3 linked regions of the Sus scrofa genome follow. The protein of the gene in region 1 interacts with the protein of each later gene in a biochemical or structural test. Links are inferred from orthologs where the notes say so. Each region holds a gene or a part of one and is shown in the gene's direction. Other genes may lie near its edges. The genes, in order: WDR5, CHD8 and KMT2C.

The links.
Region 2: the proteins of WDR5 (region 1) and CHD8 form a complex in vitro, tested with the Homo sapiens proteins (2 studies listed by BioGRID). The link is inferred for Sus scrofa from reciprocal best matches to the Homo sapiens genes WDR5 and CHD8.
Region 3: the proteins of WDR5 (region 1) and KMT2C form a complex in vitro, tested with the Homo sapiens proteins (4 studies listed by BioGRID, with this or other methods). The link is inferred for Sus scrofa from reciprocal best matches to the Homo sapiens genes WDR5 and KMT2C.

What each region holds. Positions count from the first base shown.
Region 1 is NC_010443.5:273,558,776-273,562,520, forward strand, and holds the start of WDR5 (WD repeat-containing protein 5), read left to right. Parts: upstream 1-1,503; 5' UTR 1,504-1,619; intron 1,620-3,745.
Region 2 is NC_010449.5:77,739,892-77,743,536, forward strand, and holds part of CHD8 (chromodomain-helicase-DNA-binding protein 8), read left to right. Parts: intron 1-470; 5' UTR 471-512; coding exon of another isoform or gene 513-518; 5' UTR 519-684; coding exon 685-1,527; intron 1,528-2,384; coding exon 2,385-2,756; intron 2,757-3,470; coding exon 3,471-3,645. UniProt on the Homo sapiens protein: ATP-dependent chromatin-remodeling factor, it slides nucleosomes along DNA; nucleosome sliding requires ATP. Acts as a transcription repressor by remodeling chromatin structure and recruiting histone H1 to target genes.
Region 3 is NC_010460.4:5,262,274-5,265,918, forward strand, and holds part of KMT2C (histone-lysine N-methyltransferase 2C), read left to right. Parts: intron 1-1,347; coding exon 1,348-1,526; intron 1,527-1,630; coding exon 1,631-1,767; intron 1,768-2,579; coding exon 2,580-2,829; intron 2,830-3,645. UniProt on the Homo sapiens protein: Histone methyltransferase that catalyzes methyl group transfer from S-adenosyl-L-methionine to the epsilon-amino group of 'Lys-4' of histone H3 (H3K4).

The sequences.
Region 1 (3,745 bases):
ATGGGGAGCCAGCTCTGCGTCTCGACTTGGGGAATGACGGGTCAGCGCTGGGGGTTTCGAAGTCCTTTCTGCTTCAGAGAGGTTTGGAAAAGGCCCGCAGGGAGGCCGGACTGGGGTAGGCGTGGTGAGAAGAGGATGGCTGCCTGTGAGAACTATGGGAGCGGTGATGGGGTGTATCAACAGAGATGAAACGGGCTGTGCTTGGGGCCAGGCAGCAGGTGGATGCAGATACTCTTCTTCATCCTGAGCTGGCTTGGTCACCTTTGGTGGTCACCGTCTCCTGCTCCAGGACACCTGACCCAAGGCGATGAGGCCTCCTGGGCACAGAGATCCACTCCCAGTCCTGCAGGGCCAGACAGGGATTTTGCGGCCCCTGCGTTCTCCTTGGAAGGGATCTTGGGCCAGCTGCCAGCCTTGTCTCCTGTATCTGTGACAACCACACTAGTATTCCCTGAGGCTTTCCACTTCAAATGCTCTGTCCTTGTTTGCACAGGTTCCTGTGTCATGTTCGGCGCCCCCCCCCCTTTTTAATTTGGCCGAGCCATGGCATGCAAAAGTTCTCAGGGCAGGGATCCAACCCTCGCCACAGCAGTGACAACGCTGAGGCCCTAACCGCTAGGCCACCAGGGAACTCCTAAGTGTTCCCATTTTTAATTGGGAAATAAACTGTGTTACTCTACCCACGGGCCTGGGTTGGGGCCGTGAGGCTGCCTAGCCCACGACCACCTCCACGACTCTAAGACCCACGTGGGTAGCAGAAGTGGGGCAGTGAGATGAGAATGTGCAGGATTTGGGGTGAGAACCCAGGCTCCAGGATCTCCTTGTGCCCCTGAGCCGTCCCTCTCTGGGCCTCCCCTCCCCACTTGCAGATGGAAGTTATAATACCTGTCTGGGCCATCACCCTGCAGGCAGCAGAGCAGCCTGCACGCGGTGACTATTCGTACCTCGGCGTTGGGGGCTCAGGAGAGGGCAGGTGCGCCCGGTGGGCTCCCTGCACCGAGAGGCGAGAGGCGGGCAGACCCCTCCGCCGGCCCTGCGCGGGAGTTGATGGGCAGAGTGCAGAGGACGCAGCCCCGGGAGAGGGCATTCTGAACACTTCGGAGCTCAGATTCCTCGCTTCACAGTTGGAAGGTGAGGGCCTCTGTACCGGGACGTCCCAAACATTGATGAAGACGCTCAGCCCAGGGCTCTGCCCAGAGCGCCGCCCTCTAGTGTGCGCGACGATGGAGGGCGGCGACCCCGCAGATGCCCCAAGTCAGAAGAAAGGTTGGGGCCCCGCCGCCGCTTGAATTCCACGGCGGCGGAACTCCACTCCTCCCTGGGGCGCCGCCGCAGAAGGACCGCCGGAACCTGTCACCTCCCGGGTTAACGCCTTTAAGCAGGAGCACACTGTCCCTTTAAGGCGTTGAGCCGAGCCGAGGCGTTTTGCTCCTCGCCGCTCCCCGTAGCTCCCCTCCGAGAGGCCGGCTTTGTGCGTTTGCCCCGCCCTCTCGCCCCGCCCCCGCGCACGCGCATTGCCGCTCGCCGCGCCGCCTAGTCGAGCTCGGCCCGGCTCCCGCCCAGGCGGCGGCAGACGCGACGCCCGGAGCGCCCGTCCTCAGCCCCTCGCCGCCCGGCAGGTAAGCTGGGGCCGCCCGGCCGGCGGACACGCTTCGGGGGGACGCGGGCTGGGGGTCGACGCCGGCGCACCCCGCGCCGTCCGTCGCGGCACGTGTTCTGGCGGGCCCGGCCCCGGCCCGGGTTCAGCCCCGCCGGGCCTCCCGGCGCAGACGCCCCGCGCCCGCCGCTTCGCCTCCGGGGCGCGAGCTTGGCTGCCCTTTTCCCCGCCGAGCGCCCAGCCCCCTCCGCAAACGGACTCGCACGGACCGCCGCGGAGCCCCTGGGACCCCCAGCTTCTCCCGCCCCCAGCGGTCAGGTGACGAGCCCCCAGCCCCGGGACTGCGACTTCCTTCTGGAGCCGGCGTGCATGACCCCTTTGCCTCCAGAGAAGCACCCCAGACCCCAGAGCCATCCAGTGCCTGGATGTGGCGCGCTGTCTGCCTTCCTCTGCTGCAGGGACGCCCCCACCTCAGCCCGCTCTGTACTCCCAGCCCGAGGCAGCCCCAGGCCCCATTGCTCCCTGAGAGTTCGGGGTTCCGGGGCTGCGGGGCTGCCGTCACGAAGGGAAGGCCCACCACGCCCTGCGGTGGAGCCTCGGACCCCTTCCAGTCTGGCTCGCGAGGGCCACTTTGGGGGATGTGGAAGATCATTCCTGGTGCCTTCTGGTCCCGCTTCTACCCGCTCAGGTCCCTTAGCCCCCGTCTGGCAAGTACTGAGTTAGACACTCTCCCCTGAGGTTGGCCCGGTTGGTAGAGGCAGCTGGGTAAGCTGGACCCCAGGTATGTCTGAGATTTCAGGTGGGGTGGTGAGCAGCGAGTCTCCTCACTCTGTGCGGGCCAGTTACCTCCTGTCTCGCCACACCTTGGCCCCAGTCTCTGGGGTGGCGCCCAGGCATCTGCATTTCGAGGCAGTCCAGGCGAGCACTCTGAAGTTTGGGAGGCTCAGCCTTAGGTGGTCAGACTCACCTGGGAGCCAAGAAGGAGCAAGTCGCAGGTGCTGGGGAGGCTGGCTCCAAACAAGGTGTCCAGAAATCGTATTTCTAAAGGTTGATTTCTGTACGTTAAGGTGTTGCTAGCTGAGGAGTGGGGCAGGGCTGGGGCACTTTTTCTGTCCCCCTATTGGATCCCCCGCTCCTCACCTGAAGGCAGCCAGTTCGCCCCACCTCCTGGTGGGTCTCAAGCCTCTGTGCTCCCTTTCGCACCCCAGACAGAGCCTCTTCTGTTCCTGCACGTGTTTAGCTCGGGGGAGGGGGGGCCTTCTCGCAGCTCTTGGCCTTGGTCTCATTGCCTCCGATGCTCAGTTCTGTGCAGAGGACTCTTCGGCCCACTTGTCCAGCCCAGCAAAGGGCAGGCAGTGCCGGGCTAATTGGCACGGCCTGCTTGCACTAACGACAGTCACAAGCGGCGAGTGCTTCCTGAGCCCCAGCTCTGTGCCAGCACTTTGCCCCCACACATCTGCTGACCTGCCCCTTCCTTGCCCTCCCCCAGCCCAGTACTTGAGCTTTGGGTGCTGCAGGCTCCATCCCTGCGCAGGGAGCCTTGCTCAGGTGACCAGCTGTTTCCCCTCCGCACAGCTCTGGCCACTCTGCACAGCTGGGTTGCGTTGACCTTTCTCTCCCATCTTCTTGGAGGGAGAGTTTGGGACTTGCTCTTGGTGATGGCTCCTGCTCCGCCTCAGTGTGACGAGAAACCTGTGCAAGCTTCCAGTTTGAGGCGCCAAGCTAGAATGTACAGCTTGTGAACCCAGCAGGTTAACAGTGGTGCCAGCTTCCGGGAGGTGGCTGGCCAGTGGGACTTGCGGGATGTCTGGGCGGCTCTGGAATAATGCTTGCCCTTGTTTCAGAATCACCTGGTGTGTTTCTGTGCCAAGTATCCCAGTGGCAGAATCCATTCTTGTGACAGAGGAAGCCAGTTGTACTGTGCAGCTTTTGAGTGGTTCCCGTTTTCATGCTGAAACCTAATTGAGCTGCCTCTTTCCCCCTTCTCTGCAGTGGGTCTTGCTTGCATAGCATCTGCGTACTTTAGGCTGCTTCTGTGGAGGGCTGGACTGGACCATGGGGACCCCAGTGGGCAGGGCCGGCTCTGGTTTGTGCTTTCTGGCCATGCTTTCGGCTCTTAGTGTTTTGGAAGCCGCCTTGTGTCTGCAG
Region 2 (3,645 bases), on another chromosome or scaffold:
TCCATGAGGACGCGGGTTTGATCCCTGGCCTTGCTCAGTGGGTTAAGGATACAGCGTTGCTGTGAGCTGTGGTGTAGTTTGCAGACTCAGCTCAGACCCCACGTGGTTGTGGCCTGGATGGCGCTGCAACTCCAATTTGACCCCTAGACTGGGAACTTCCATATGCCACAAGTTCAGCCCTAAAAAAAAAAAAGAAATGGACAGAGACACCTGAGTGATCTTGACAGATAGAAGCTTCAAAGCTTGTAGGTGTAAGAGCCCCCAAAGGGAGTTAATTTCTTTTTTAATTTTAGTTTTGAAGCAGAAATATGGATGTTCTTTCTGTTGTGTCTCCATCCTCAGATGACCTTGCGTTTCCATCTTCTCTCATTATGTTGATGCTATTTTATATTAAGGGTAGTACCTAAGAAGGAGAACTTTTCCCTGAGATCACCTACTTTGCTTATTTGTCATTTGTCTTCCTACAACAGGAGTTCCACCATCTTCCTCTGAAGACCTAGCCATCTTGCTCTATGAAGGTCAGGACAATCTGACATGCACTTGTTTCTTGCCTCTTTATGTGAAGAGTAGTCCTCTTCCATTGTGTACATTTTTTTCTTAATAGGGGAGGGGAGGGGAGAGCCAGTACCCCCCCTCCCCTTCCCTCCCTAGACCTTGGGGAAGTACCCCCATTACTTTCCCAAGATGGCAGACCCCATCATGGATCTGTTTGATGACCCAAATTTATTTGGCCTGGACTCTCTGACTGATGACAGCTTCAATCAAGTCACGCAAGATCCTATTGAGGAAGCTCTTGGACTGCCAAGCTCTCTGGACTCCTTGGATCAGATGAACCAGGATGGTGGAGGTGGTGATGTGGGGAATTCATCAGCAAGTGACTTGGTCCCCCCACCAGAGGAAACAACCCCCACAGAACTTCCCAAAGAATCAGCAGCTCCAGCTCCAGAATCTTTAACCTTGCATGATTATACCACTCAGCCTGTCAGCCAAGAGCAGCCAGCCCAACCTGTCTTACAGACACCGACGCCAACATCAGGACTTTTGCAGGTCTCCAAGAGCCAGGAGATCTTGAGCCAAGGGAATCCTTTCATGGGTGTCTCTGCCACAGCTGTCTCCTCCAGTAGTGCTGGAGGGCAACCATCTCAGTCAGCCCCTAAGATTGTTATTCTTAAGGCCCCACCAAGCTCCTCAGTCACTGGTGCCCATGTGGCACAAATTCAGGCCCAAGGTATCACCAGCACAGCTCAGCCCCTCGTGGCAGGCACAGCCAATGGTGGAAAAGTCACTTTTACCAAAGTGCTAACCGGCACTCCCCTTCGACCTGGTGTTTCCATTGTCTCTGGTAATACAGTGTTGGCTGCCAAGGTCCCTGGGAACCAGGCTACTGTTCAGCGCATTGTCCAGCCCAGCCGACCAGTAAAGCAGCTGGTTCTACAGCCAGTTAAGGGTTCAGCTCCTGCTGGAAACCCTGGGGCCACAGGGCCCCCACTGAAGCCTGCAGTTACACTGACCTCTACACCTACCCAGGTGACTTGAGTGAAAGGGGGCGGTGAATTTTGGTTTAGTAGAGGGCCCAGCAACTGTGAGAGCAAACACAGGAGAGATGTCTCTAGGAAATCGTGTTTAAATTCTTTTTATCAGTAGTATTGACAGCCACATGTTTATTACTTACTAGAAGAAAGTAGTTAGTGTTAACATATTTTTTGAGCTCTTACTACATTTACACTGTGCCTAGCTGGTACTGAACAAGATAGACACAGTCCCTGTCGTTACAGAGCTCACAGTCTGCCAGGAAATTACAGACCTTAAATGAGAACTCACAATAAAGTATGATGTAAAGTTGTATGAGAAATGTAAGGATGCCATTGGAACAAAATGGTTTTTGAAAAATATATTTATATTTGCAAGACTTATGGAAGCTATGTATCTTTCCTCTGTTCTTATTATTAAGATCATCCTTCTGTGATTTTGCCCAGGAAAAGGCTAGTTTCTATTGTAAGAAAATTGAGGCTCTGGCCAGAAGAGTTTGAGGAGAGAAGAGGGCAGTATTCAGATAAGTAGGGCTGGTGGAGAGAAACTGTAAGAAGATAGATTTTAGTTCACTATAAAGACTTTATTCTAAGAGAGTTCCAAAAAATGGAATGACTGCCTTAGAGGATAGTGAGCCTCCCATCAGTTTTTCAAGACTAGGCTTGATACCCACTGGGCAGAGCTGTTACAGAAAAGATTTTTATCTGGACAGATAGGAGGATGAATAAACGAATTGTATTGTGTCTTCTGACCCCCAGTTTTTATTTCTAGGATAAGGAAAACTGGTGTAAATATTCAGAGGTCTACCATTCTTAATGTTGTACCTCTCTTGCAATTTCCTTTCTTTGCTCTAGGGTGAATCAAAACGCATCACGCTGGTCCTCCAGCAGCCACAGTCTGGAGGTCCCCAAGGACACCGGCATGTCGTGCTAGGGAGTCTACCAGGCAAGATAGTGTTACAGGGCAACCAGCTAGCAGCCCTGACTCAAGCCAAGAATGCCCAGGGGCAGCCTGCCAAAGTAGTAACTATCCAGCTGCAGGTGCAGCAGCCGCAGCAGAAAATCCAGATTGTACCACAGCCTCCATCATCACAGCCACAACCCCAGCAGCCACCCTCAACCCAGCCAGTGGCTCTCTCCTCTGTGCAACAGGCTCAGATAATGGGACCAGGACAGGGCCCAGGACAAAGACTTTCAGTACCACTCAAGGTGGTGCTGCAGCCACAGGTGAGACTTACAGAGTTAAGAAGGAAAACAAGTCTCTTAGTCCCTTGCTCTTACCCTCAGTGACCACTCATTGTTGAATGTGGGGCCAGTCTAGATTCCTACCTCTGAAATGAGATGCAGACTTTTATTTCTTTCACCCATGGAAATTTTGTTTTAATTATGTCATGAAAAGATTTGAGGGTTATTTTTGGGTTTAGAATAAGAGATGATTTGTCTAGTACTTGTTGAACTTTTCATTTACAATCTTTTCCTAATGTTCTCGTGAATAAAAATGACAAAATATCATCCTGCTTGAAAGATAAAGACTCTTAAAGGGTCAAATGATTATCATTCCTCTCGCCCCGAGGGAGATACAGGTAGGCCAAGAATAGATCTGAATTTTTTTCCTTTTAGCCTAGAGGCCAGTGTTGGCAATATTGTTTGAAATTTGGGGGGATTATAGAGATGGGTATTGACATTAGAAGCATGGCTAAAGGATATCGAAGGTTAATTTGACACAGATTTCTCGCCTTTTCTCATCCCCTTCCCACCATAAAACAGTTTTCTTCTTTTTTTTTTTCTTTAAATGTGTCTCTAGGTTCAGTAGGAGTTGGTCAGAGTTTGGTTCTTGAGTAATTAGAGAGTTAAAATTTCTAGCCTGCCTGCTTCAGAGCTCTTTTATTCAGGTCATTTCACTACAAGAATGTTGAAATTTTAGTGTCTTTATTTCTATAGGCCGGCTCTTCCCAAGGGGCATCTTCTGGGCTCTCTGTAGTTAAAGTTCTAAGTGCCAGTGAAGTGGCAGCTCTGTCCTCACCAGCAAGCTCTACCCCTCATACTGGGGGCAAGACGGGAATTGAAGAAAACCGTAGGCTGGAGCACCAGAAGAAACAAGAGAAAGCAAATCGGA
Region 3 (3,645 bases), on another chromosome or scaffold:
AAAAAATCTTATATAGGAAGTTCAACAGAATAGTAATCGAACATTAAGGCAGTGGGACTCTCCATGCAAAATATTTCAAAGATTATTGTCGAGAGTTCTTGGTGGCCTAGCAGTTAGGGAATCCTGCGTTGTCATTACTGTGGCTCTGTTTGGATCCCTGGCCTGGGAACTTGTGCTTGCCTCAGGCTCGGCCAAAAATGAGAAGCAAAAAACCCCAAAGATCATTGTCCTTTATAAGCTGTTCTTTTGGTTTCCTGGGTTTACTGATGGTTGCAGATGCCAGATTCAAAGGGCAGCAGTCAGGGAGATCGGTGAGTGCTTTTGCGGAAGAGATGGCGGGTACCACCATGCTCTTGGTGTCAGTTCTGGAGCCCAAGATTCGGAATGGGGAGAAGAGCATCCCCTAGTAGATAATCACACCGGCTGGTCAGGTCCAGGAGCGGCTCTTACAGGCCTCATCAAGTGACTCTCTTCCTCAGAGAATCTGGTGCCCCCCCCCTTTGATGCGCTGTCCTTTGGACGAAGTCTCTGTACTGTATTAATGAGAGAACTCTGCGGGGAGGAGGAGTGAGGAGCAGGTCTCTCTCTCTCCTGTACCCGGCGGCTAGATTGGTGCCAGCTGGGTGACTCAGGAGCAGCCGCGGGACGGGAGGTGGCCTCTGGGCGTGCGTGTTGAGTGCCCACTGCTGGGTTTTACAGGGACGCCCTGGAAGCCTCTCTTGCCGCTTCTCTCAGCAGCCTTCAGCAGGACGGCCTCTCTTCCGGGGAGGAGCGCGGGACCCAGGTTCCTGGGCTGCGCTACAACATTTAGCCCAGCTGCCTTGGCAACCTCTAGCTTCTGGGCCTGGACCCCCTCTTTTTTCACCTTACTTCATCGTTTTGAAAACAAAGGCCTGTGAGGTCACGAGGGATAGCCTTGCCGCTGTCCGTGAGCGGCAGCCCGGAGAGCTCTGTGCGCGTGGGACTGCGGATGGGGGCCGGCTCTTTCTTTCCCAGCTGCAGGAGGGTGCCCTAGGCTCAGTGATCTGGAACTTGGCCGAGGTGTGAGCATCCATCCTTTCCATGCCGCATAGTGATCCCATCAATCATCTTCCTTCTTTGGCAGGTCTTTACACTCGGATGCTAAAGCTTTAGTCAGAAGGAAACTTACCATTGAGATTACCTTATAGTTAAACACATTTGTTGTTTTTTTTCCCCAAGAGATTTCCTGGTTGGCCCCAATCCTTGGCTCCTTGGGCTGCTGTTGTTGTGCAGAGGTCACGCACATAGCGGGGGCCGGGTTGGTGTGGGAAGCACCCAGGGCTGGGTGTGCGCGGCTGACGCGCACTGTGTTTGCCTGTCTCTTAGGATCCAGGACCACGGTGGTGGTCGGGACACCCCTGACAGCTTTGTTCCTTCATCCTCTCCGGAGAGCGTGGTCGGGATGGAAGTCAGCAGGTACCCGGATCTGTCACTGGTCAAAGAGGAGCCTCCGGAGCCGGTGCCATCCCCCATCATCCCGATCCTTCCCAGCCATCCCGGGAAAGGTAGGGCCGGGCCTCACCACCCAGTTGCTGTCTGCCTCTGCCGGGCCGCGCCCGTTCGTGTTTTGAAACATGGTTAACACGCAGTTAATCCTTCTTCTTTTAAGGTTTGGAATCTAGAAGGAATGACATCAAAACTGAACCAGGCACTTTATTTTTCACATCACCGTTTGGTTCCTCCCCAAATGGTCCCAGATCGGGTCTCATATCTGTGGCAATTACTCTGCATCCGACAGCTGCTGAGGTAAAGAGGAAATGGCTTTTTGACGTTATGGGATATGTCCCCATTTTTAGGGTGTGTCAGTGGCACGCACAGCAGGGTCGTTGCGGATGAAAGATTCAAGTTTGGGTAGGCTCGGGGGGTCACTTCGGACGTCTGCTGCCGCCACAGCTGTGACCAAGCATCAGACAGATGGGTCCACATCAGGGCAAAGGGCAAAGAGTGAGAGTTGCCTTTTTTATTCAAGGGTGTGTATGGCAGGGAACTCTTTAGAGAAGGAGAAACCCTTTGATAACTGTCTGCACAGAGAAAATTAAAGCAGTGAAAAAGAACTTGGTCAGCGAGGGAAGTTTTCCAGAAGGGGGATGAATGTTGAACAGCAGCTCATGCCAAACACTAGCCCATGGCTGGGATTTTTTTTTTTTTTAACTCAATTCTTGAAGATGGTGGTGGCCAAGCTCATAGTCCAGTGATGGGGTGTTGCCGTTGTCAGCAGAACGTAGCAGTAGCGTGGGCTCCTGGACTGTTTGTCCAGAGCTGGGCAGAGGCCCCTTGGAGAAGGCGACGACCAGCTGTACCATCGGGGACACGGTTTGGCTCGTTCCGTGTCTTCAGTGTCTGCGAGAGTTTACTGCTCTTCGGATACTTGGCACCGACGGTTGCCGGGATGAGGACTCCTGTCCGCCGAGGCTTTGTTTGGGTCGGGCCCATCGTAATCCCCTCTTAGTCTGAAGAACGTCACTGGATTTGCAGCCTGCGTGTGTCCCGCAGGCGACCTTCCGTGGTTCGTGGTCGCTGTCTGGGTGGGTAACACCGCGTTTGCAATTTTGTTTTAGAACATTAGCAGTGTTGTGGCTGCGTTTTCCGACCTTCTCCACGTCCGAATTCCTAACAGCTATGAGGTTAGTAATGCCCCAGATGGTCCATCCGTGGGTGTGGTCAGTAGCCACAGAGTAAACCCAGGTTTGGAGTATCGACAGCGCTTATTTCTTCGTGGGCCTCCACCAGGACCTGCAAACCCTCCCAGATTAGCCAGCTCTTACCACCTGAAGCAGCCTAATGTGCCTTTTCCTCCAGCGAGCAACGGTGAGCTGGTTTACATTTCGGTAACCCCAGATTCATTCTTGATTCCAAAGTTAAGCTTATTCTCTTTAAAATCTCACCTTAATTTTGAACACGTCCAGGGAACGTGTTGGCGCGGAGTCTTGGTGGATTAACGCTCTGGGTGTTGTGTCTCATGGGCCTGCCTGAGCTTTCCGTTCTATCCAGCTGTCAGCCCGGAGGCGCGGGGGTGCGCGCCCATCCCCGACGCCGGGGCCCCTCTTGCTCTCCTGCGCCCCACCTGCTGCTCGCTTCTCACCGTGGCGGGCAGGCGGCTTGGCCGGTGCTCCTCTCCCCTCCTCCTGCAGCAGTGCTCCCGCTCCCCTCGCTCCCCTCGCCGTTTCCTCTCTCCTGGGCCACGTCCGTTCCTGTGTGTCTGCCTGACTGGCCTGCCCTCACCCTGCTGCCCCATCTCCGCACTCACCCGTGTGGGGTGGCCCCCTGCTGCCCTCACCTGCTCTTGTAGCCCCGCAGCTTCCCAGTGCTCATCCCTGAACCTCCCCGAGAGTTGCTCCTGTTGGAGGGGGAGTTCTCAGCCTCGGGCTGCTTCTGTCACATGGGTTTTTTTCCCCTGCTCCTCCCTCTCTGGCTTCTCGGCCACACGGAGGATGTGCTCTGAGGGGGCCTCGTGCTCTGGGGTCTGAGCCCGTACACTTTCCTCTTGGCCCCGGGCCTGCCGCGCTCCCTCTTTGAGTTTCCGAATCACACCCACTGAAGAGCCCATGCACGCCCTCCTCACCTCCCACGAGACCTTTCGTGTCGTCTTCGCCCTCGAGCATACGTGGTCTCCCTCCCGGCCAC